7 linked regions of the Daphnia pulex genome follow. The protein of the gene in region 6 binds, or shares a complex with, the protein of the main gene of each other region. Links are inferred from orthologs where the notes say so. Each region holds a gene or a part of one and is shown on either strand. Other genes may lie near its edges.

What was found.
Region 1: ruvB-like helicase 1 (region 6) and inhibitor of growth protein 3-like share a complex: the UniProt entries of both Homo sapiens proteins name them as parts of the SWR1-like complex. The link is inferred for Daphnia pulex from reciprocal best matches to the Homo sapiens genes RUVBL1 and ING3.
Region 2: ruvB-like helicase 1 (region 6) and prefoldin subunit 2-like share a complex: the UniProt entries of both Homo sapiens proteins name them as parts of the PAQosome complex. The link is inferred for Daphnia pulex from reciprocal best matches to the Homo sapiens genes RUVBL1 and PFDN2.
Region 3: ruvB-like helicase 1 (region 6) and chromatin modification-related protein MEAF6-like share a complex: the UniProt entries of both Homo sapiens proteins name them as parts of the nuA4 histone acetyltransferase complex. The link is inferred for Daphnia pulex from reciprocal best matches to the Homo sapiens genes RUVBL1 and MEAF6.
Region 4: ruvB-like helicase 1 (region 6) and mortality factor 4-like protein 1 share a complex: the UniProt entries of both Homo sapiens proteins name them as parts of the nuA4 histone acetyltransferase complex. The link is inferred for Daphnia pulex from reciprocal best matches to the Homo sapiens genes RUVBL1 and MORF4L1.
Region 5: ruvB-like helicase 1 (region 6) and p53 and DNA damage-regulated protein 1-like share a complex: the UniProt entries of both Homo sapiens proteins name them as parts of the PAQosome complex. The link is inferred for Daphnia pulex from reciprocal best matches to the Homo sapiens genes RUVBL1 and PDRG1.
Region 7: the proteins of ruvB-like helicase 1 (region 6) and actin-related protein 6-like are in contact, whole or in part, in a cryo-EM structure (PDB 6IGM), measured with the Homo sapiens proteins. The link is inferred for Daphnia pulex from reciprocal best matches to the Homo sapiens genes RUVBL1 and ACTR6. Residues at the interface, in NP_003698.1 of Homo sapiens: Lys162, Thr163, Ala164, Lys165, Gly166, Thr167, Tyr209; in NP_071941.1 of Homo sapiens: Tyr217, Tyr300, Arg338, Cys339, Leu340, Thr341, Pro342, Thr343.

What each region holds. Positions count from the first base shown.
Region 1 is NC_060019.1:7,721,594-7,725,739, forward strand, and holds the start of inhibitor of growth protein 3-like, read right to left. Parts: upstream 2,801-4,146; 5' UTR 2,668-2,800; coding exon 2,640-2,667; intron 2,568-2,639; coding exon 2,496-2,567; intron 1-2,495. Other genes in the region: uncharacterized protein LOC124190484, read right to left, coding at 4,110-4,146. UniProt on the Homo sapiens protein: Component of the NuA4 histone acetyltransferase (HAT) complex which is involved in transcriptional activation of select genes principally by acetylation of nucleosomal histones H4 and H2A.
Region 2 is NC_060024.1:9,271,865-9,274,405, forward strand, and holds prefoldin subunit 2-like, read right to left. Parts: upstream 1,268-2,541; 5' UTR 1,181-1,267; coding exon 1,023-1,180; intron 924-1,022; coding exon 800-923; intron 737-799; coding exon 554-736; 3' UTR 501-553; downstream 1-500. Other genes in the region: aurora kinase-like, read left to right, coding at 1,738-1,805, 1,937-2,122, 2,204-2,338, 2,401-2,541. UniProt on the Homo sapiens protein: Binds specifically to cytosolic chaperonin (c-CPN) and transfers target proteins to it. Binds to nascent polypeptide chain and promotes folding in an environment in which there are many competing pathways for nonnative proteins.
Region 3 is NC_060026.1:14,091,069-14,093,731, forward strand, and holds chromatin modification-related protein MEAF6-like, read right to left. Parts: upstream 1,316-2,663; 5' UTR 1,248-1,315; coding exon 1,173-1,247; intron 1,107-1,172; coding exon 900-1,106; intron 842-899; coding exon 641-841; 3' UTR 501-640; downstream 1-500. Other genes in the region: V-type proton ATPase subunit D-like, read right to left, coding at 3-120, 229-269; histone deacetylase 8-like, read left to right, coding at 1,374-1,520, 1,654-1,828, 1,891-2,067, 2,126-2,197, 2,267-2,459, 2,531-2,663.
Region 4 is NC_060018.1:5,689,381-5,693,272, reverse strand, and holds mortality factor 4-like protein 1, read right to left. Parts: upstream 2,678-3,892; 5' UTR 2,586-2,677; coding exon 2,534-2,585; intron 2,470-2,533; coding exon 2,355-2,469; intron 2,290-2,354; coding exon 2,194-2,289; intron 2,121-2,193; coding exon 1,969-2,120; intron 1,854-1,968; coding exon 1,729-1,853; intron 1,662-1,728; coding exon 1,560-1,661; intron 1,472-1,559; coding exon 1,380-1,471; intron 1,248-1,379; coding exon 1,145-1,247; intron 1,076-1,144; coding exon 1,006-1,075; intron 945-1,005; coding exon 860-944; intron 789-859; coding exon 704-788; 3' UTR 501-703; downstream 1-500. Other genes in the region: digestive cysteine proteinase 1-like, read right to left, coding at 2,872-3,056, 3,178-3,237, 3,309-3,524, 3,624-3,669, 3,731-3,831. UniProt on the Homo sapiens protein: Component of the NuA4 histone acetyltransferase (HAT) complex which is involved in transcriptional activation of select genes principally by acetylation of nucleosomal histones H4 and H2A.
Region 5 is NC_060023.1:8,880,313-8,882,591, reverse strand, and holds p53 and DNA damage-regulated protein 1-like, read right to left. Parts: upstream 992-2,279; coding exon 763-991; exon of another isoform or gene 700-762; coding exon 539-699; 3' UTR 518-538; downstream 1-517. Other genes in the region: intraflagellar transport protein 140 homolog, read left to right, coding at 32-517; hydroxyacylglutathione hydrolase, mitochondrial-like, read left to right, coding at 1,319-1,385, 1,460-1,572, 1,635-1,756, 1,823-2,049, 2,122-2,279. UniProt on the Homo sapiens protein: May play a role in chaperone-mediated protein folding.
Region 6 is NC_060023.1:12,188,576-12,192,411, reverse strand, and holds ruvB-like helicase 1, read left to right. Parts: upstream 1-1,158; 5' UTR 1,159-1,290; coding exon 1,291-1,431; intron 1,432-1,500; coding exon 1,501-1,629; intron 1,630-1,690; coding exon 1,691-1,865; intron 1,866-1,928; coding exon 1,929-2,300; intron 2,301-2,361; coding exon 2,362-2,465; intron 2,466-2,526; coding exon 2,527-2,816; intron 2,817-2,880; coding exon 2,881-3,040; 3' UTR 3,041-3,336; downstream 3,337-3,836. Other genes in the region: longitudinals lacking protein, isoforms A/B/D/L-like, read left to right, coding at 3,678-3,836. UniProt on the Homo sapiens protein: Possesses single-stranded DNA-stimulated ATPase and ATP-dependent DNA helicase (3' to 5') activity; hexamerization is thought to be critical for ATP hydrolysis and adjacent subunits in the ring-like structure contribute to the ATPase activity.
Region 7 is NC_060023.1:9,663,279-9,666,793, reverse strand, and holds actin-related protein 6-like, read left to right. Parts: upstream 1-1,211; 5' UTR 1,212-1,270; exon of another isoform or gene 1,271-1,303; intron 1,304-1,379; 5' UTR 1,380-1,387; coding exon 1,388-1,467; intron 1,468-1,528; coding exon 1,529-1,646; intron 1,647-1,707; coding exon 1,708-1,900; intron 1,901-1,964; coding exon 1,965-2,157; intron 2,158-2,228; coding exon 2,229-2,436; intron 2,437-2,509; coding exon 2,510-2,772; intron 2,773-2,853; coding exon 2,854-2,983; 3' UTR 2,984-3,015; downstream 3,016-3,515. Other genes in the region: carbonic anhydrase 2-like, read left to right, coding at 1-27, 94-244, 312-417, 479-706, 773-1,006. UniProt on the Homo sapiens protein: Required for formation and/or maintenance of proper nucleolar structure and function. Plays a dual role in the regulation of ribosomal DNA (rDNA) transcription.

The sequences.
Region 1 (4,146 bases), on a different chromosome or scaffold from region 6:
AACCATTCGTCCGAAACCAAGTGGAGACGATACGAAAATTTTCACAACCCGAGTGGTGGAGACACTGTCCAGGTCTCCAAAATCCGGCCGATCTTGCCTCGCGGGGAGCGCCAGCGCCAACGCTGGTAACCTCAACTCTTTGGTGGAACGGCCCGATTTGGCTCAAAGGAGAAGAAACGGAATGGCCAGATTCTCCCAACGACCAAATTCCACAAACAATCCAGTCCGAAATGGAATCGGAAGCTAGGAGTACGACGGTCAGCACAACAGCAGCCATCGCAATTCCAACAGCCTCCGTCGACTGGAATCTCGACAAAATTTCCACCTGGAATCGACTGTTAAGACGTACAGCCTGGGTCTCACGATTCCTCAGCAGGAGTCAAAAGAAGCTCAGACCTCCCGGTCCAGAACGAATGGAGTCGATAAAGGCAATTGGACCAGATGGAAAAGGAAGTGGAAAAGTTATCCGGATTACAAGATTATCCAGAGAGGAGCTGGATGAAGCGGAACTAACGATCTACAGACAGCTCCAACGAGAGCGGTATCCTAAGGCGTTTGAATCGCTACAGTTAGACAACACAATCCAGCCCAAGGAGAAAATCGCTGCACTTTTTCCAATCTGGGACGCCAGAGACCGTCTCGTTCGAATCCATGGGAGAGTATCACTTGCCCTAAGAGATAGAAACATCGATCCCCCAATTTTGCTTCCTGCATCACATATAGTAATCACTTTCTTAATTACAGACAAACACGAGTCACTACTACATGCAGGAGCAAAAGTAACACTATCCGAGTTAAAAGAAAAATTCTGGATAGTTAAAGGACGACAGCAAGAACTAGCAGCCCCTCTTCCTTTAAACCGACTCAAACATGCGCAATCTTTTCACGTTACAGGAGTCGATTTCGCTGGACCACTGCTGTACAAACCAGCACAGCGAAGGAAGAAAAGGAAAGCTCCACCAAGCGTCCAGGATCCGACGCCAGCAGACGATCCAACTGAAGAGCGAATCGAGGAGCCACCCGCTGAAGGAGACGCTCCAATCGAAGCTCTAATCGTAGGCGAAGAGGATTCAGTCGAAGAAGATGTCGAAATCCAAGACATCTTAATAACAACAACTAAAGCTAAGAAAACGAACCATCTTAAAAGTTATGTTTGTCTTTTTACGTGTGCAGTCACTCGAGCGGTTCACTTGGAACTACTACCCGATATGACGGCGCGTTCCTTCTTACTAGCCTTTCGAAAATTCGCAGCTAGACGAGGACCCGTCTCAGTGATGTATTCGGACAACGCGCAAACGTTCCGATGTGTCGACCGATTCCTGAGAACTATTCACGCCGATCCCATCATTCAAGACTTTCTCGCGTCCAGAAAAACCCTTTGGATATTTTCCGCCAGCCTAGCGCCATGGTGGGGAGGATTCTGGGAACGGATGGTGAGGAGCGTCAAGGATCTGCTGCGACGCTCCAACGGTCGAGCCTGCCTTGACTACATGGAACTGGAAGCGAGTTTAGCAGAAATCGAGAGCGTAATCAACGCCCGCCCACTCAGCTATATTGGGGAAGGAGCTGACGATCCACTTCCGATAACTCCTAACCAATTTCTAAACAACAGACGTTCTACTCGTGCCGATCCGGAGCCAGCCGTTAACTTGCTGGATCCTACATCGACCAGCATCGTACTACAAGAGATGGACAAGAACAGGAGGGAATATGTCGCTGACATCTGTGCTAGATTCGTCGACGATTATCTACTCCAACTAGACAACTTCCACTCCAAAGGAAAATCCGGAAGGAAGATCCGCCTAGGAGAAGTCGTTGTTATCCACGACGAACACTCCAAACGACTCATGTGGTCTACCGGAGTAGTGAAGGAACTGATTCCAAGCCGCGACGGACTCATCCGTTCTGTCATGCTCAAGATTCCAAATGGTAATTTAATTAATAGAGCCATTCAATGTCTTCACCCTATAGAGCTGCGAGAAGATCTCGCCGAAGACGTCGAAATTGGAAATCCGGAACCGATCCAGGAGCCGGAAGAGGATCCAAATCCAACTCTGCCAGAACCAGAAATCGATCTCGCTATCGGAGACGCTATGCCAGCTCCCGAAGAACCGGAAGACGTCGTCGAAGATGTCGAGCCGGATGCTACGGGCTCTGGTGGGGAGTGTGTTAGGAATATTCCATTCCAACAGACGACGACGAGATCAGGGCGCCGCACAACAACACCGGCGCACCTACGCGACTATTGCCTTGGGGGCCCCCGATAGGTGGCCCCAAATTCAGTCGTTGGTCCCCAAATTCAGTCGTTGTTTCCCTACCCCCCTATTGTTTATTCCCCCCCAATTTACTGTACAATATTCAGTGTGTTAAAATAGACGAGAGGTAAAAGACACGGTTTTGTTCGTGTCTAATTTATTCAACTTGGAAACTGTAAGTAAACGGCCCGACACGCCGAACATCCCTATTACATTTTCTACAACTTATTCGAGAGTTACTTTGAACTTGTAAATCCATTTCGCGCATTTCAGTAAATCGATCCCTCAGTTCTTGGGGCAAATGCTCTATCACTACAATGGGGAGATGGTAATTTAAAAATTTTAATCAGGGAACTTTATCATCACTTGAAACACTCATCATACTTTCCAAATAATCTTCTAAGTACAACATTTTGGTACAAATTGATTGAAATCGACAATAAAATTTATTTAAGTTTTGAGAAATTTTCTTTTTCTTATACGCTTTTGACGGATGGCTTGGATCACTGCTTCTTTTCTGCAGTTGATCTACAGGAATCTAATGTGATGACGCGAGCGAGTGAATGTCTGCAGATTCCCTCTAGCGAGCAATTTGGTCACTAGGAGTTGTGCTCACTTGGTCTAGTGTTAGCCTACTGCCGCCTACTGCCAGTCCTAGTTATACTGTAGGCAGCGTACGTACGCCGCAAGGTACCCGAAGGGAATGTTAAGGGTATTCTAGTTGGTATAGTAGTATTGGTATAGTTTTACAAAGACAGAGCTATAGAATAGTTATAGAATAATAAAAATATTCTGTTATAAAGGTAGGCCTATTATTAAGATGGATTAATAACATTTAAAAAAAATTTATGCCCTTAGTTTCCGGAAGATTGTAATAAGCATAAATCGAGAAAGAGATTAAAAGAATATTTCCGCGTGACTTTGGTGCGGCGGAGGCTTCGCCCCGCCACCCCACGTCACACCGGATCTTGTTAAAATTAAATTTAAGTAACTACCTATCAGCACTTCTGTTACTGGAGATTGATAGCGTTCGGTGATAACATACAGTGACTTCTATTCTATCATACAATAGTAGTCGATTGTCACGTTACGTTTATATCCCTGTCACATGTCTCTGTATTATCGTCTGCTGTAACAGCTATTGAAATTCTGTCAAAAAGTAACCAGAACTCCGTTTGATCAAATGCCTGAATTGATTGCAGCCAAATTTTCAGAATAGATGTAAAAAATTGTAAGCTACCGATTACTGCCATTGAAATGCAATAAAATTGTTGATTACAATCAATAATTGCCAAAAACTAGTGCATCCATCTATGTAGTGTTACGAGAACTGAGGGTGCCCATGTAAACCATACTGCAAACGAAACTTTGACCAGTAACCCTTCGGGTAATTTGTAAATATTGAAATATTTGAAATAAATAACATGAAAACTAATTAAAAGTGACATGTGTGCTTTGACTTTGTCTTGTCTTTGACTCAACTCATGTGTCTATGTGAAAGAGCCGTCTGAAAAGCGATCTAAATTGGGCTCCGAAAGTCCGAAAAAACCTTCTTAAAAAATCCGTGTCTTCGGAGTTCGGACGTCACCTTCTTTTTACGAAAAAATTTCGTTCCATCTTTAACAACACTCAGTAGATTTGAGTCCAATTTTGTATTTAGAACCTTTTAGAGATTGAATTTAACCATTCAGGCTTACAGAGAAATTTTCGCACGTAGCAGTGAATCGAATTGGTAGCCTGCCGCTGGTGTGATTTCCATTAGTGAGGGAAATATCTAGTGAGGGAAATGTTTATATTAAAATCAAAGATTAAGTTAAGTTAAATTATCTTCATTATACCTCATACCAGATTCGTTTATCGAAATATCTGTACTTGTCCTCCATTTCGACAG
Region 2 (2,541 bases), on a different chromosome or scaffold from region 6:
CAATTCCCACACATCGTCGTCGAATCGTTTTGGTGTATACTGCATAAGTAGACTGTCTAGACCAACTTTTCACCTAGAAAATAAATTAAATATTTTGATCACCATTGTTTACTTATCTGTAAAACAAATTTTACGGAGAACTGCGCCAAAGCAATTTTGTGGGGAACACTTTTGACTTTTCAAATATTACACACAAACTAAACAGTTCGCAGCAGCAAAAATTATTGGTTTAAAATCCGGTGTGATCTCAAATCCATATGATTTTATAGCGTTGTCGCTCTTCGGAGAAACCAGAGATAAACTAAGTTATTGTGCATTCAATAGAAATCTAATAGAATAATTCCTGCTAGTAATTCATAAATACATCAAAAGTTAGAATAGCTAAGCTTCTTAAAAGCTTTCTTGGTAAATCACACAGATTGTTTAGTACTCTAACCTTCCATTAGGATAGTAGAGCAGATGAAAGTATTAGATTCATAAAAATAAGCAAAAGCAAAACATATGTTTTCTGATTTTTCTTCAGCAGCAGAGCATACAAAACAAGGTATATCAGTTAAGGTTTGGTGCCCACCAAAACCCCCTGATTGGCAACTTTATTTTCTCCTTCATTATCAGGAGCTGTAGATGGGAGTTCATTTTGATTTCGTATCCTGATATTATTCTTTTCCTTGAAGTCATTAATTTCTTGTCCCTTGGTGGAAATTTGATTATTGAGAACTTCAATTACTTTAGTCATCTATATAAAAAATAAATTGTAATTAAAATTACAACCAAATAATACAATATGAAAACAAGTTACCTGGTCCCTGTTTGATGTCAGTGCAGGCAGAACTTCTTTGACAGTTCGTTCAACTAGTACTCCACCAACCATGCGAAAGCACTTCCTGTCTTCATCCACATTTTGAAGGGTTTCTATTACTAGTCTGAGTAAGAAAAAAAATATGACATAGTTAATAGTAGGAGTAAATTATCCTCTACACGCTATGGAAGTCTGTTTATAAAGTGAAACCGGTAAAACTTACTTGTGCTCGTTTAGATCCATTTCGAGCTCAGATAATTTACTAGCTAGTTGTCTCTGTTCAGTTCGTAATCTTTGAAATCCTTGGATGACTTCTTCATTCGATTTGCTAACATTTTTCGGAGCATTTTTAGCTTGCTTTTTGCTTCCGTCAGTCGCCATTTTTTACGTATCAAAAGCACTAAGCAGCAGACAAACTTCAGGCTATTCTACTTCCTACCCTCCTAGTTCCTATTTGAGACTAGCGGTAGAATGTAGCGAAGTCGACGATCGACGATTGTCGAAATTGACTTAGGCCTATTTGCAGATTGCAGAGCACCGAGAACAATAATCGTCTTAATGATAATGAAATAATTTAATAATAAATTAGTCTTAGACACGAAGACGAAGTCTATAGAAAATCTGAGAAAAACGACAAACGGAGGAGGCGAAAATATTTCCATAATACCATCATACCGGCAACGCCGGTTGTTCTGCCGTTTGAATATTTTCCCATTTGTCCAAAACCGTCCAGTAGCAGCAGCACCGTAGTAGACCACGGTTTAGGGTTTTAGAGTTTAGAAGTTTAGACATTGGTATACAGGTATATACAATTACAACACATTTTGAAAATTTAGACCAATCTAAACGTTTTTTACGAAAATGTAAGTGAATAAGTAAGTTTGAACTTCGTGTTTTTGTAAATGTTTCATGTTTTGATTTTGAAATTGACAGATAACATGGAAACCAAGCAGCCACTTAAAGAGAACTCTTCAAACCAACCTACTGTTAAGTTGGAAAACTCAAAGTATGTTAGAATTTTTTGTTTTTCAGAATCCAACAAAGTGTTTCTCATTTATCTTCTTGACTTAAATATTTTAATTGTGGCATTAATCTTCCAAATCATGTGTGTTTCTCTGCTTGTTTGTTTCAACCCAGATGGAGTCTTGATAACTTCGAAATTGGCCGTCCTCTTGGTAAAGGGAAGTTTGGAAATGTGTACTTGGCTAGAGAAATCAATACCAAATACATTGTAGCCCTGAAGGTTTTGTTTAAATCTCAACTACAAAAATGTCAGATGGAACACCAGTTGAGACGTGAAATTGAAATCCAGTCACATTTACGGTACATACTAATGAGATCACATGTTTTATGGAAAATTTATATCACTAATGCACATCAACCTTTTCTGCGACTCTACTGTAGACATCCCAATGTTTTACGCATGCACGGATATTTTTATGATGAAACTCGTATTTACCTCATCTTGGAATTCGCCGCAAATGGAGAAATGTACAAGTACCTGAAACGCCAACCCAATGGCCGTTTTTCTGAACCACAGTAAATTTTTTAAAATAACAGAAACATAAGTTCTGTGGAAAATAATTTACCCCTATTTTTAGGACGGCCAATTACATGGCTCAGCTAGCTGATGCATTGATATACTGTCACGCGCGGAAAGTAATCCACCGAGATATTAAGCCAGAAAATCTTTTACTAGGATTTCATGGAGAAATTAAAATAGCCGATTTTGGTTGGTCCGT
Region 3 (2,663 bases), on a different chromosome or scaffold from region 6:
ACATCAATGATCTTTTTCAGGATTGAGCGGAACCTCATTTGAAGAGCATCTGCCTTCTTTTTAAGAAGACCATGGCCTTTCTGTGCACCGGCAAGCCGATGTTTCATCAAAGTCTGTGCTCTGATTGTGTCAAGAGAAAGGAATTAAACCAAAAACTTGAAAGTTGTTATTGAGCTCTAATATGTTCTAAATTACAACTGAATCGTCTTAAAGATAAATATGACATACCCTCGAGAAGGAAAAATGGCAATTTTGTCTTTTCCCGACATTGTGTGATTAAAACTGGATCTGAATAATACAATACAAACGAATAGGGTTCGTAAGAGGGTTTAGTGTGTGGTTACCGAATTTTGACAAGAATCATCTGATCATGTGACAACAAGAGAAGGAAGAGAGGGGGAGGAGCAAATGAGCTTTCAAATCCATCTGGCGATAGAAGGATGAAACATATTTACGTAATAAGTCTGAATCGGAAAATGAATTGCGAGAACATTGGAATGTTTAATTCGAGCATTTATTCAGAAAACCAGAAAATTGACACACAGACATAAAGTTTGTTTAACACTTAGGAAGGTACATTCATAAGGGCATTCACGAAACCATGTTATAGAGAATAGGAAAATGAACAGTGAATATGAAATTATTTCAGTTTTGACTTCTTGCTCCCTCTTTTATTTATATGTCTGGATTTTGAAACTTTTCCTAACTTATCACCATTGACCCCCTCTAAACCGAGAAAATCTCTGCTGTTTTCGTCACTTCCACTCATTCCTGCTTGTGATTCAGTTTCACTGCTTCGTTCTGCTCTCTCAGAATTCAGATCAATGATCCCGCTCACAGCCTAGGTTTGAAAGAAATTTTATTTCTGTTAATTCAGTAGAAGTGTCATGCAATTCTACCGCCATAGAAGTAATTGAAGACTTGGAGAAAAGTCTTTCATTTTCCTTGAATTTCCTGTTCCTTTTGTCAGATGAAGGGTTTGACAGTTTGCTAGTACTGTTTAAATAACGGTCCCATCCTCGAATAATATTTCCGTAAAGCTGTGTATCTTCCAGGTAACTACCTTCGAATGCATAAATTTGTCTTTCCAAGTTGGCTAGGGTTTCCTACAAAACACAAATATAAACAATGAAGTAGGCAGTTTTTAAGGTTAAATTTGAATTCATTCTTACGGCGACTTCGATTCTTCGTTTGACGAGGTCAGAAAGTTCAGATCGTAAATCGGAGCTGGATGTATTTTTAGTCATTTTACAAGCCAAAATTTCGCCCTTTTCTTTTGTTGTTCAGGCGATGCTGGCGGCCATTTAATTTCGGGTTTCTTTATTGTCCGCCATGTCGCTAGTGAACGTGGCGGTGCAGACAACGTTATTCAAATGGCGGGTATACTGCCGGACGAAAAAAAGAGCTGTGATGATAACGAGGAAAAAATCATAAAATGTCCCCCTAAATCTAAAATTGGCTATGTATATTCACCGGAATTAATTCATCAATGTAATAGAGTACCAAACCTGAAGAACAGGGTAACATTTTTTTTCCATTCACCACTAAAAAATGTCACAGTTAAATTTTGACATACTTAAGCATTATGTACAACTAACTTTCAATAGTACATATAACGTATTTTGATCTCACTTTTGCTTTGTTTCTTTTCAGGCCTCATTAGTTCATCATTTGCTGGAATCTTATGGACTCTTAGATCATGTCTTGCTTTTAAACTGTGATAAAGTTAATGATGACGTCTTTCAAGGATTTCATTCTGCCGATTACATTGAATTCCTCAAAGGTGATGTGGATGTAGAGGATGAATCCAGTGAGGAATATGGTTTAGGTAATATGAATATGGAAACATGTAATGGAAATGTTAATTTATCACATTAAAATCTAATCAAGGATTTGACTGCCCCCCACTTGACAAGCTTGATGACTTTATCTCTGTGATAGCTGGTGGATCTGTAGCAGGAGCCAAAGCACTTGTTTCTGGATCTGTTGATGTGGCAGTAAATTTCTGTGGAGGCTGGCATCACGCTCAGAGAGATTGTGCATCAGGATTCTGCTACATCAATGACTGTACAATAATTTAATATTTTTATAATGAAAACACAAGGTAAAACTATTGGATTTTCAGGTGTTCTTGCCATCCTAGAATTGGAAAGAAAATTCAAACTCGTACTTTATATTGACTTGGATATTCACCACGGTAAGTCCAACCCTTTTTCAGTGTAAATGTATACAAGGATTGATACAAACCCATTTTTATTTATTTAAGGAGACGGAGTTGAAAATGCTTTCGCTTACAGCCGCAAAGTGTTTACGCTATCGTTACATAAACATGAAGAAGGATATTTTCCGGGTACAGGTTCAGTCAACGACACTGGTTTCGGCAGGGGTCGCAACTATTCATGCAATGTTCCACTCAGAGATGGGGCTTGCGATGAAACTTTCATCCACGTCTTTCAAACGTATAAATTTTCTTTTGTCTCCTTAAAACCTACAATGTGGTTCATCATCATTCATTCATCTGTGACAAAAGAGTTTTCCAGGAAGTAATGAAACGTTTTCGTCCGGAAGCAATTGTATGTCAATGTGGAGCAGATGGCCTAGCTAACGATCCATTAGGGACATTTAACTTGACACCCGTTGCATACGCCCGCTGCACCGCTGTC
Region 4 (3,892 bases), on a different chromosome or scaffold from region 6:
GTATTATCACCCTCGTCTTCGCTGCATCCGCCCAGTCACCGAAAAATGAAAAAAGATAGACGCAAAGACCCAAAAATCTACACGACACACTCATCTCACGAGCGTTTTGTTTTCTCTTCTCGGTCACGAACAGCTCGGCTATCATTTCAATGTTTGGGTTTAAATGACCAGCAGATAGTAAATACTGAGCGAGGAAGACGGGGTACACATAGTTGGACCGTGACGATGTGTTGTTCCCATCTCAAAAGCCCACTTTCACTGCACACACGAGTTTTGTCTATGCCAATTTGAGAGAGGATCACTACCAAAATCTAGCCGAAAATCTCTAGACACACACTCCATTCCGAGCGGATGTCGAGCCCAATGAAGGAAATAATACACGACGATTGTTCTCGACTCCCTATCCGACAAACAGGACAATTAATTGCTTGTCTAAAAACAGACCAGCTGGGTCAAAGAGATTGGCGTCATCGGTAGAATTCGCAGAACCGTAAAAAAAACCGCGTAACAATTGAATGTATTACGTTTACACGATGGCAAGTCACTGTGTTACACATGAGGCTTAAAAAAAAAAACTTTTTTCTTTCTTTATTTTTAAAGTTTACCAGATTTCAAATCGGCTCGTTTATATGTGTGAGACATTGGAAAGAAAAAAATATTTCCGACGAAAAAAAAATGAAAAAAGATACACTGACGTGGTATTTCAGCAAGCGCGGCGGTGATATTCAGCCGATGCGTTGCCATAATCCTGAGCACTGAACAGCGTCGAAGCGTTGCGTCCCATGTATCTGTCGTGATCACAGCTGCCGATGTAAATCAACGTCTTTAAATAAAATGTTTCTTTCGTTTTCAGACTTACTTTAAAAAATCTTGGAGGTGAACGTGGAGCAGTTGGATCGACTTTTCATCAAGTGGGGTATACGCCAGCATACTTCCTAGCCGGGCTGTACGATAATGTTTATTTTAAATATGTTAAATGGTGGTTTGAAATCAATTGAAACTTACTGAACATGCGTAAAAGATGGGGGGCTCCATAAATTTGGCTCATCATTTTGTCAGGGTGATTCTTCAAAATCTATAGCCATATAAAGAATCAACGTATGAACGTATAGTATATCACTGTGAATTTCACTTCATGACTTACATCAGCATATTGTAATCTCTCAAATTTATACAGCAACGAAGAACCGAGCGTTACATTGAAATATTCTTTCAAGCCGGCCATGACCTCCTGAATGGCACTCTCTCTAAAAATGGAGGAATTAAAGGAAAGAAATAAATAAAAAAAAAGTTTCTCCACTTGGTTTAGCAAATACACACAATGTATGTATGCTATTGGTATTCATTTTGCTAGCAGTAACAGCGGAATTGCGACATACTTGCTTGGGGTGGTCGTCCGGTTGCTGCTTTTGTGCTTGATGTAATCTTCTAGAATGGTGTCAACGGGCACTTTGGATGGTAAGTTCGCCAACTGTTGCGTAATTGGATGAAATGAGTTTTTGGTGACTCAGTGAAATATTGCTGGAAAGATAATATCTTTAACGTTTCAAATCACGTACTTTTTTCTGGCGGTTAATATAGTCCCAGTCATCAACAAGCCAGGGTTTCAACTCATCTGGAATCTTTATTTTCACTTCAACCTTGGATAAAAACTGTTCTTCCTATAAGTAAATGGTTTTTTAATGCTACATTGTTGAAAAGATTTAGAAAGTGTATGTGAAATCTCACTGATTCAACAGTAGAGTCAGGTCTGGTCTTCTTTCTTGAGCTTTCAGAAGATGATGCTGTACCAGCAGTGGTGGTAGAAGGTGTTGTTGTCGTAGAGGCTGTGGCAGGTCTTTTGGTGGGTTTTTCTGTTGGAATATAAGCAATTTTTATGTTATTTTTCGTAACACTGATCTTGACTGATTTCAAGGAAAGACAAATAGTCTGACAATGGCATCATGTGTACCACTTTTGACAAGGTACCTTGAAGTGATGGTGTAGAAGATCTACTATCTGTTTCTTTGCCTGATGTATTAGCATCTGACAGGTTGCCTCCACCTTTAGATGATTCTGATCTTCGGCCTGGAGGTTTGCCAACAGGGGTAGAAACACCTTTGATTTGTTTCTTTCCTTTCCTGTTCCAAAGAAATTGAAAAACCAAATAAGATGATCAATCAGCCTTAGTCGTTGATGAAAGTCAATAGTTACGATGTAGCTTCATGAGCTTTGAGGAGTTCTTTCTGTTTTTGAAGAGCTTGGTCATTGTACTTCAGCACACGGTTTTCAGGCACCCACTCATCCCAACTGTATAAACAGCAGAGGAAAATGTTATGGAAGTTTCATCAATATAAATTTCACTTTGATTTTACTTTTTATTCCAGCCAGCATAATGTATCAAGTATTTGTTCTGTTGATCCTTGAATTCTGCTTTGAGGCTTTTGGCTTCATATAAAAGCGGACCGTGAAAACAAAGAACTCGTTCCCCTATTATTTTGTTTAATCGTTTAAATTTAGTTATCCAAAGATATATTTGACTAATAAAACAAACCTTCTTTAAATTTGAATTCTGTTGCTGGCTTCTGTTGAGCTTTGGGACCCATTTTTGTTCAAAGCAGACGCTACAACTTGCTAGTTGCTACGTCACGTGACCTAGCGTTGGTGCACGTTTCATTAAAAGAACGTCAGAACGCCAAAATGCAATTTTTAAAAAGAAAAAAAAATCGAAGCACATTTTTTTTTTTTAATAGCAGCTGACAAATATTTGATAGCCACAATCAATTTTATTCAAACTCAGACGTAGAGATCCATGTTTACTGTTTTTTCCCAAGCTTTTCTATAGATTTCTACTCATGATGGGAGCAAACACAAAATTTAATGTTTGGAATCTCACATGATCACATAAGTAGGTGAAGTCGCGACGCCACAATTATTTTCTTTTTGTGACATCAAAACATACCCAGAATTTCCCCAATAAGTCGACCACGAATTTTTTACCAACCAGTATGGCTCGCCTTTTAGAATTCCATACCCTACAGCTAAAACAGCGTGGTCCAAGCTGTCTTCTCCGCTGCCTACAGTTTAAAAAAGTAATTCAAGGATGAGTGTGATGGTGCCACAGATTTCAAAGAAAGAAAGTATTCTTTTAGAAAAGGTAATTGCATGATATTATTACGAGATTTTAAAAATTATTACCGCATTCAGGATTGTAGTAAACTCCGTTGGCGTAAAAAGAAAATGCACGATGCGCAGCATCTATTTTAATAGTTTCGATAAAGAAAATTATTACCACCTGACTTCACTACAACTCCTCCGCGTTTTATTACCGATAGCAACGGAGATTGGGCCATACTTAAAGATGGCAACACGCAACGCATCGACGTCTCCTGATGTTACATTAACATAGCCTTTAATGGAGGCTACGAGAGTCGCATTGTCTACATGGCAATAACCATCAGCACCCAAGTAAGGTCCATAACTCTCCTCTGAAGGAATACCTCCGTGCTTCATCATCCACTGGTATACTCGGAAATCTTCACCACCTTTAATTGACGAACAATTATGCGAAGAAATGGTAAAATTTAAAACAAAGAACAACTTTAGAAGAAAAAGTGAAAATATATTCAAATGAAATAACATACCGTCGCAACCGTTATTGCCAAAACCCCAACTGCAATCAACAAGAGCCTAAAACAAACATATTCCCATCATTAATTTCATTGAAACAAAATATTTGATGTTAATTTACCTGTTGTGAGAGTGGAGTCAGTTTACCCGTTTTGAGGAAGAGGGCTCCTTCAAGAGTTCCTACAGTTCCAAAACTCCAACACGAACCACACACACTTTGGTCTATAATAATTGTAATGATGACATTATTTAAACAAAAATTGAATTTAAACAAAAAGAAAAT
Region 5 (2,279 bases), about 3.3 Mb from region 6:
AATAGATACGGCAATGTGTTCTTATTATTAGGCCGAGGTTGATGAATACCAAAGCTACGACAACGCAATGAACGCATTGAAAGAAGCGCACAAAATTATGTCCAAAACTCCTGAAAGTAGTCAATCAACAAGATCTAAAGCACTTTATATGAAAATGGCTTTTCTGGAGCAGTTCATTAACATCAGAAAAATGTCTGCCACAAACCTACAAGGAATTTCTCAGTTTGAAAGTATCTTACAATCATCTAGCATGGATTTAGGCATTTTGAAACCAGGAAATGTTTACTCTGCTATTTTCCAACTTTATGTTGATCACCAAATGCACAATGAAGCCCTCCAAACTTTGAATGGGATGAAAGCAACTGTTCCAAAGTTCATGAATTATTTGGATCCTGACATGGTGTCTCAATTATGCCTAATTCAAAATGTGTCATCAACATTATATCTCGAACAAGGTAACCAAAATGGAGAGGAAAACTCAGAGGATATAAGAGAAATTATTAATCACAGAAAATAATTTATTGATGATATTCAGACTTCACTTAGAAAGTGCTTGCATTATAATCTCAGCTTCTTTAGATATTGGTTTTAAATCAAACCCTTTCAGTTCTGGTTTCCCTTCAAGATCTCTCAAATGTTTCACTTGTTCTTTAAGCTTGTTGCGATGTTCAGATATCTCTTGATCAACCTCTTTTAACTCTGCAGGAGAAAGGCGACAATTTGAATTAATTTTGTTGAAATTTAAATGCTAATTTTAAATACCTCGTTCCAACAAGTTTTGCGCCTTGGACGTCCTTATTTTTACGAATATGTTTCCAATCGACACCCATGCCTTTTCACTAGGTTCCAAGCCATTTTTCAAAGCCCGAAAAGCTTCCCGTGTTTTTTGGCGCTTGAAATCCAATGCTACTATCTCGTCTCTGGTGATAAAAATCTCTTGGGCAGCAGCTTCAGTTTGAAGTATCAACTGTTGTGTCTTTTCGAAATCCATGGCACAATCTTTTTGTTTAGTTTGAAAGTTTGAAGAGATTGTTCTTGTTTGCTGTTGTATCGTCTGCTATTCATTTGCCCCATTGCCAAAATTGACGAACAAAATCAAAAGAACCAAATTTTGTATTGTTTCTCTGTCTTCAGTAATTTTGTTACCTTTTATTTTATTGTAACTGTTCTGCATGATATCTTGAATATTAGAGTTTGATTCAAAACTGATAATCATTAATCAATCAAGCGCAATTTCAGTGTTTAACGTGTTAACACTGTCTGTCGACTGCTCTGTGAGAAAGAGCTATCGGCAAGTGGCTCAAAAACAACAAAACAGATGAATACTCTAGTTCGTCTTCTACCTGAATCGTGTTTGCAAGCGTTAACTGCGGCATATTTTCGCTGTACGTCTACAGTTTTTATTTGAACATTATTTTGTCAACAAATTGAACATTTTCTTAAAAATTATTCTTTGTAGTTTCTGCTTGGAGAGCCCTTGGTTCAAGAAGTCACAGCCAGCTCAAAACTTGTATTGACTCAAAGATGAAAGTCCATATCATTCCAGCTTTGCAAGATAACTACATGTATTTGGTATGCAAACTTTTTGGATTCGGCTTATCACATGTAAAATACATTTCATACTTAAACTATAGTTGGTGGATGAGAGCTCAAATGAAGCTGCAATTGTAGACCCAGTAAACCCTAGCAAAGTGGTTGAAATTGTAAATCAGGAAAATGTGAAATTGACCACTGTTCTTACTACTCATCATCATTGGTTTGTTTTATCATTAGTATAGTAAATTTTTAATTTAAATGTTTGGGATTTTGTTTTTAATGACAGGGATCATGCAGGTGGCAATGAAGAATTAGTAAAACTTGTTCCTGGGCTTGCAGTATATGGTGGAGATAACCGTATTGGAGCGTTGAATAAGAAGGTTTCTCATGGAGATAAACTTCAGGTTGGAAACCTAGAAATTCAATGTCTATTTACACCATGCCACACTTCTGGGCATATTTGTTATTATTTGCCCTCAAGCAGTGTCAATGGACAATCAGCAGTATTCACTGGTGAGTAAAACTTTGAAAATATTCTAGTGGTTAAATGAGTAAATATTTTCAATATTGTTTCTTCAATATTAGGTGATACTCTCTTTCAAGGAGGATGTGGTAGGTTTTTCGAAGGAACGGCTGATCAAATGTATCATGCATTGATCAATGTCCTCGGCGCTCTTCCTGATGATACTCGTGTTTACTGTGGTCATGAATACTCTTTGCAAAATCTAGCTTTTGGACTTCAT
Region 6 (3,836 bases):
GTCAAAGATCATTCTCGTTCTTAATCGGAAGGCATTTTGAAGTACTAATTAATAAAGAATTATTGTTAAAAAAACCGATAAGAATGTGATGTATCATTTTAAAATAAAAATATACCTTGTAACGGGTTCTGTATGTCAAATCGAGCTCAGTATTTAATCCATTTCGAAACGAAAAGGTGTTTTGGTAGTAGTTTCATCTCCATTTTTGTTTTATATGACCTTCTGGAGCGAGGAGAGTTTAGTTAGCAAATAATCGCATGCGAATGCACCAGATAATGTTTTAATGAGAATCAGTTTGAGAAAATTGAGGGCACATTCACGTTCGAGTGCTCGCGCTCAGCAGTGAAACAGCGAGCTTTCTAATATTTACTGATAACGAGTTTGAAAACAACGGTTTCCATTATTCTTTCTCCAATGTGCCGAAAATACCAGACAACAAAATAACAACAGCCATGAAATATTCTGTTACTCTGTGTTTAAAAAGACGACAACATTCTAAAAAAGACTACAGCATCAATGCGTGTTATGTGTCAAGTCATCGAACTTGCAGCGTGTCTACTTTGCCGCACCTCTCCTTCGCCTATTCCTGCGTGTGTATGAAAAATGTGTAGGTCATACACGAAATAGATAAACGAAACTATTGTTGGATCTATTCTTTAATTAGTACTTTTAAGTGAAGGCACGTTTGAAGTCTATAATGGGGTTCGTATAGGCTAATTGTTTGTTTGTGTTTGAAATTGAGGAAATAACTGCAGACAAACTTCACGACTTTCGTCACACGCTTGTAACAATTTGACTACTGCGACGGATGTAAAAGATTTTAGCACTTCCCAGTGAAACATGAAATCGAAATGAATCAATGAATAGAAGAAAGAACAAGCTTGTTTGTTTACCAGACGACAGGTGTTTCAGTTTAATTTCGTTTAACGGCTTCGGCAACCACTCAAATCATCTTAGATCTCAGTGAGCAGCCAATCCCCATGGACCCCATCAACCCGATAGCCTGGTTGCCGAATCCTGGTGCTTGATAATTTAAAACTTACAGAATGATTTGCATGTAAATTTTCTTCCATGGTGCTTTTTCTTTTAAAAAAGGGTAAAAAACAAAAAACATTCTGCTTAAAAAAAAATCCTTTTACTACACAGTTGAGTCAAGGTCTACCAGGTGGCGTTTAATCTGGCGGGACTGCCGGTTGTTACCATAGAAACCCTGAAGCAACTTCGTCTCGTGTTCTTCTTAAGGCGTCCACATTTTTTCTGTAAATTTGCAAGTCTTTTATAAATAACAAAATGAAGATTGAAGAAGTTAGAAGCACGGTCAAAACTCAAAGAATTTCGGCTCACAGCCACGTGAAGGGTCTCGGTTTGGATGAATCCGGCAATGCCATAAACATCGCTGCCGGCCTTGTTGGCCAAACGCAAGCCAGAGAGGTAACACACAATTTTTTTCAGTTTTCTAAGAGAAATGTACTCAACAACTGTTTGCTCTACATTTCACAGGCAGCTGGTTTGGTGGTGGATTTGATCAGGTCTAAACGTATGGCTGGAAGGGCTGTGTTGTTTGCCGGGCCACCAGGAACTGGCAAAACTGCCCTCGCCATGGCAATTGCTCAAGATTTAGGCAACAAGGTCAGTCCTGCTTTAACTGTTTACAAGTTGAAGAAATTGAAAATTAAAATTTCATATACAGGTTCCTTTTTGTCCTATGGTGGGCTCAGAAGTCTTCAGCACTGAAATCAAGAAAACTGAAGTTTTAATGGAAAACTTTCGTAGAGCTATTGGCCTTCGTATCAAGGAAACGAAAGAAGTTTATGAAGGAGAAGTCATTGAACTTACCCCAGTTGAAACTGAGAATCCTATGGGAGGTAAAAGTTAACAACTCAGTTGATTTTTATGACAAATTTTACTACCAGTTATTTGTTTTACAGGATATGGCAAAACTGTCAGTCATGTAATCATTGGACTGAAGACGGCTAAAGGAACAAAGCAGCTCAAGTTGGATCCTTCCATCTACGAATCTCTCCAGAAGGAACGTGTTGAAATTGGTGACGTCATTTACATTGAAGCCAATAGCGGAGCGGTTAAACGTCAAGGCCGATCTGATACGTTTGCCACCGAGTTCGATCTCGAAGCCGAAGAATATGTCCCTCTTCCTAAAGGCGATGTTCACAAAAAGAAAGAAATTGTCCAGGACGTCACCCTACACGATTTGGACGTGGCTAATGCCCGCCCACAGGGAGGCCAAGACATTCTTTCCATGATGGGACAGCTAATGAAGCCGAAAAAAACCGAAATCACAGGTAATATTTTCATATACTTCAAAAATGCTTACCAAGATTTAAATTTACATTTTAATTGTAGACAAGCTGAGGAGAGAAATCAACAAGGTAGTCAACAAGTACATTGACCAGGGAATTGCAGAGCTTGTACCCGGCGTGTTATTCATCGACGAAGTTCACATGCTGGTAATAGACCAATAAAAATAAAGATATTCAAAGTTAGTGATTGATTTTAATTGAATTTCAGGACATGGAATGCTTTACCTATCTCCAAAAAGCGCTGGAATCGGCTATCGCCCCCATCGTTATCTTTGCCACTAATCGAGGCATGTGCACAGTCAGGGGTACCGATGATATTGTGGCTCCACATGGTATTCCTCTTGATCTACTCGACAGACTTCTCATTCTTCGGACGATGAAGTACACCGCCGAAGAGATGGTACAAATTATCCGCATTCGTGCCAAAACAGAAGGATTGAGCATTGAAGACGATGCCCTCCAAGCTCTTGGTGAACTTGGCAATCGAACTACTCTGAGGTAAGAACAAAAATTGTAAAGCAAAAAAATGATCTTATTAAACAATCAAATGTTCTTGGTTTAGGTATGCGGTTCAGCTACTTACACCCGGCGCCCTGACAGCTAAAGTTAACGGTCGCTCTTCCATCACCAATGAAGATATAAAAGAAGTCGGAGGTCTGTTTCTCGATGCCAAATCATCAGCCAAGATCCTGACGCAAGACAAAGACAAGTACATGAAATGAGGAATCGAGTCAAATTTGCTGGTCTGTGTGTTTCTTTCCATTTTTCTTAATAAAATTATCCTCCACGAATAACCAATTCAGTTCGTCACGCTACTCCGCTTCCATTTTTCTAAACACATTTCTCATGACCAACATATTTAGCTCTGTGTACCGCTTTTCTATTCGAAACTTGGTGTCGTTGGATAGCTGCTCTCTCAAAAGTTACGGACTTTTAACTTCTTTCATCTAAAAACGGGTGTACAAAATAAAAACAGGAAGCCGTTTTGAACGATTAAAATACATTAAAATGGATCGAGCTTTACTAAAAACATTGATTGAATTCTGAACAGGGGAAAAATTTCACCTCGGATATTTTGATTTGACAACGACGCCGCGCCAAATAGCAGACGAAAAATACTTGTTAGAGATGGCGTCTTTCAATCTTTGTGAATTTTTATACACAACACACCTGCTGGATTGTTAACTCACTGGATCATAAGCTGGTTCGAATTACTGGTCTCAGAATTTCGCCAACGCCATAAATTGGTCTTCTCATAGGGGTGAATTGTTGTTGTTATCTCACGAAGGCTTTGGTGAAAAATACCAAGGGTCTGGTTGTGCATTTCCGAATTAAAACAGGTGGACGTGTGTGCCTGCGATGATGGGCCAGCACGACATTCAAGAGTTTTGTCTCAAATGGAACAATCATCACAGTACTCTGGTATCCGTCCTCGACTCTTTGCTCGTGAGAGAAAGTCTGGTAGATGTAGTCCTGGCTGCTGAAGGTCAATCCATAAAAGTACACAGATTAGTTCTT
Region 7 (3,515 bases), about 2.5 Mb from region 6:
TGACTGTTACCAATAATGGACACACAGGTAAGAGGATACACGAATAAAATTATTATTGTTGTTTTATGTTTTTATATATTGTGGCTTGCGCAGTGTTGTTTAGCCTTCCCTCGAGCATTCCGGCAGAGTCTATACCCTTTATTACCGGCGGCGGATTATCAAATCGATACAATTTCGTTCAATTTCACTTTCACTGGGGAAATGATTCATCGCACGGCAGCGAGCATCGAATCAAATCTAAAAAGTGCACATTTAATTTAATTTTTTAAATTATTGTGGAAATTATGATTATTTTTAAATTATTTTTAAAGATATTCGGCTGAACTTCACTTGGTTCACTATAATACCAAATACGGATCGTTCTCCGAAGCGACGAAATATGATGACGGTCTAGCCGTTTTGGGTGTTCTCATTAAGGTTTGTTAATTTAGCTAATCTTCTTAATATTATTCGAGTTATTCTAAAACAAATGTCAAAGGTAGGGAAAAAGATTAATTCAGCATTCCGAGCTGTCGTTGATCAGTTGAATGAAGTTGACGAAGACGGTGACGAAACGACACTGGTAAATCTGATTTCATTTAAAGATTTATTACCGTCTCGAACCACCACATTCTTCCGCTATTCCGGTTCTTTTACAACGCCCGGATGTGAGGAAATTATTATCTGGACTGTTTTTGATGATTCCATCACTATCTCCGAGAGCCAGGTAGAGATTCCTTCATGTTTAAAGTATTTTTGTTTTAATACTATTATCCAAAAAAAAAAATTACAGCTATCGAAATTTAGACTTTTAAAAGGAAGAGATAGTTTAACTTTGGTAAATAATTACCGGCCCGTTCAGTCGTTGAGCGGACGCACCGTCACATATAGATCTCGTTCCGGATGTCATATTACGATAAACTGGTCTCATTCTTCCTCACCTATCGTCGACATCTATCAATATAGCACATGCGTATTTTCTTTTTATGCAAATTCTTTCCTAACCATTTTAGGTGTAAATTTATAACAGTGACGCATTATTTCATTTTTCTAAACTGCATAAATATTAATGAAGCTAAATAAATCGAAAATCTACTTGATTCATTGATTGTCGACCCGAAATTCTAAACTGCATAAATATTAATGAAGCTAAATAAATCGAAAATCTACTTGATTCATTGATTGTCGACCCGAAATGAACGAATTAAATAAAACTGGGACAACTTCACTAAATTGCGCATTTGCTCATTTGTTATTATTGTTTTTCGTTTTTCGACGCAGCGTTTGAAAGGTTTTTTTCTTATTTTACTCCAAAACTAATAATGTATGTTTTGATTTAGTAAAAAGTTATTGTAACAGCTTAATATTGATACAAAATGCATTTCCTTCTCTCCCACTAGCATCAACAATGGCTGCAAAGCACATTTTTGTGTTGGATAATGGAGGATTCAACATCAAAGCCGGTTTTGCAAATAATGCAGAACCCCGGTAAATATAACAAAGATTCATAATGTTTTCGTTTAGTATAAACCATATCCACCCTCAATAGTGTCATGCCAAATGCAGTAATGAAAGCAAAAAGTGAAAGAAGGAGGCCTTTCATCGGTGACCAGCTTGATGAATGTCGGGATGTTTCTGGTCTCTACTATATACTCCCTGTTCAAAAAGTATGCAACTTAATTACTTCACAATTTATAAAAATGAATTTACTATATCTTTTTAATTTAGGGCTATCTAATTAATTGGGACACTCAGAAAGATGTTTGGGATTACTTGATGGGAAAAGACTGCTTTAATGTTCACATCAATTCAACTTCACTTGTTTTGACTCAGCCATATCTAAATTTCCAGTCTATTCAGGAAGGAATATGTGAATATTGGTTTGAAGAAGTGGAGTGTGAATCTCTCCTGACAATTAACCGTGAGTTTTTGTCTCTGGTTAATTAATTTAATCTTTTCCTCATGGAATTTTAATGTTATTACAGCTGGAACTTTGAGTGCCTACAAATATGGAAAAGAGAACCCTTCTGAATTGTGCTGCTTGGTGGTAGACTGTGGTTACAGTTTCACACACTTAATCCCTTATGTACAAGGAAAGAAAATCACAGAATTTGTTCATAGGATTGAAATTGGCGGCAAGGTATTAACCAATCATCTGAAAGACATAATTTCCTATAGGTAACCTTCACACACAAGTTATAAATAAATAACAAGTTTTTAAAATAGTATGTTTTAATTGCCATTTACAGGCAATTGAACGTCATGGATGAAACGTACGTTATCAACCAGTTGAAAGAAGACACTTGCATTGTATCCACAGATTTTAATAGCGATATGGCGTTGTCTCAAAAGAGAGGAAAAGACAATCCGTTCGTTGTAGACTACATCCTTCCTGATTTTACAACCATTCGTAGAGGCTATGTGCGACCAAAGGACGAAGCAGGGTCCGGCGAACAGGTCTGAAATTTTTTGCTGATGCCAGACGTTTTTGTTCAAATGTTATAATACATTACACTTTTCGTCTTGCTAGGTTATCAGGATGAATAACGAACGTTTCGCTGTCCCAGAACTGTTGTTTCATCCATCTGACATTGGAATCCAGCAAATGGGAATATCCGAAGCCATTGTTCACGTGATTGAACAATTTCCTTCCGAAGTTCAAAGCCATTTGTACAAAAATATTTTGCTGATCGGCGGATCTTGTTCTTTGCTCAACTTCAAAGAAAGGGTTGAAAAAGATGTTAGGACGATGGCTCCGGCCGAGTGCGAAGTCCGTATCAACATGGCATCCAAGTAAAATACAATATTTTACCATTCATTTATTTGAATCGACATTAACCATCACCCAATATCTCATCTTTCAACTCCTTATAGTCCAGTCACAGATGCCTGGCGAGGAGGATGTAGCTTAACTAAAGATCCTCAATTTTCTTCTCAGTTGGTAACACGTCGAGAATATGAAGAACATGGATTTTCTTTATGTCTTCAACGTTTTGATGTATGAGTTTTTCAACAATAAAATGTATTTCTTTTTTTTCATCTTTTTTCGTCTTTTTTTCATGTTTATTTTATTTTTTTCAATTATTTTATTTTTTTTAAAGTTTTTGGTTTTTATTATTTAACTGTTGCAAAATATTACCACTAGGTTTGAAAAAGATGCCTCAGGCTCTTTCAACCCGGCTGACATTGCACAAATCAGTGTGAAAAACAGCTGAGTGGAAGAATGTGCTGGTGAAACTGCGTCACGGTATTTATTGAGACGTTTTATCTCAAAAGAGTGTTGCTATCGTGAGAGAATAAAATAGCGGTTGCTTGTAATCAAGTGTCTACTGCGGTTTTGAAAAATTCACAAAACATATATCCCACTCTACTTGAAAACGTTCCAGTGCTGGCAGCCTGGCACGTGTTGATTCTCGTCGAGTGAGCAGCTAGCCGGTAGGGAATATCTCGATAACAAGCAAACACATTTTTGGTAAGTTGAGAATCACGACTTTTTAGTAGTTCTTGTTTATACATGTCTTTTAGAATATTGAGAA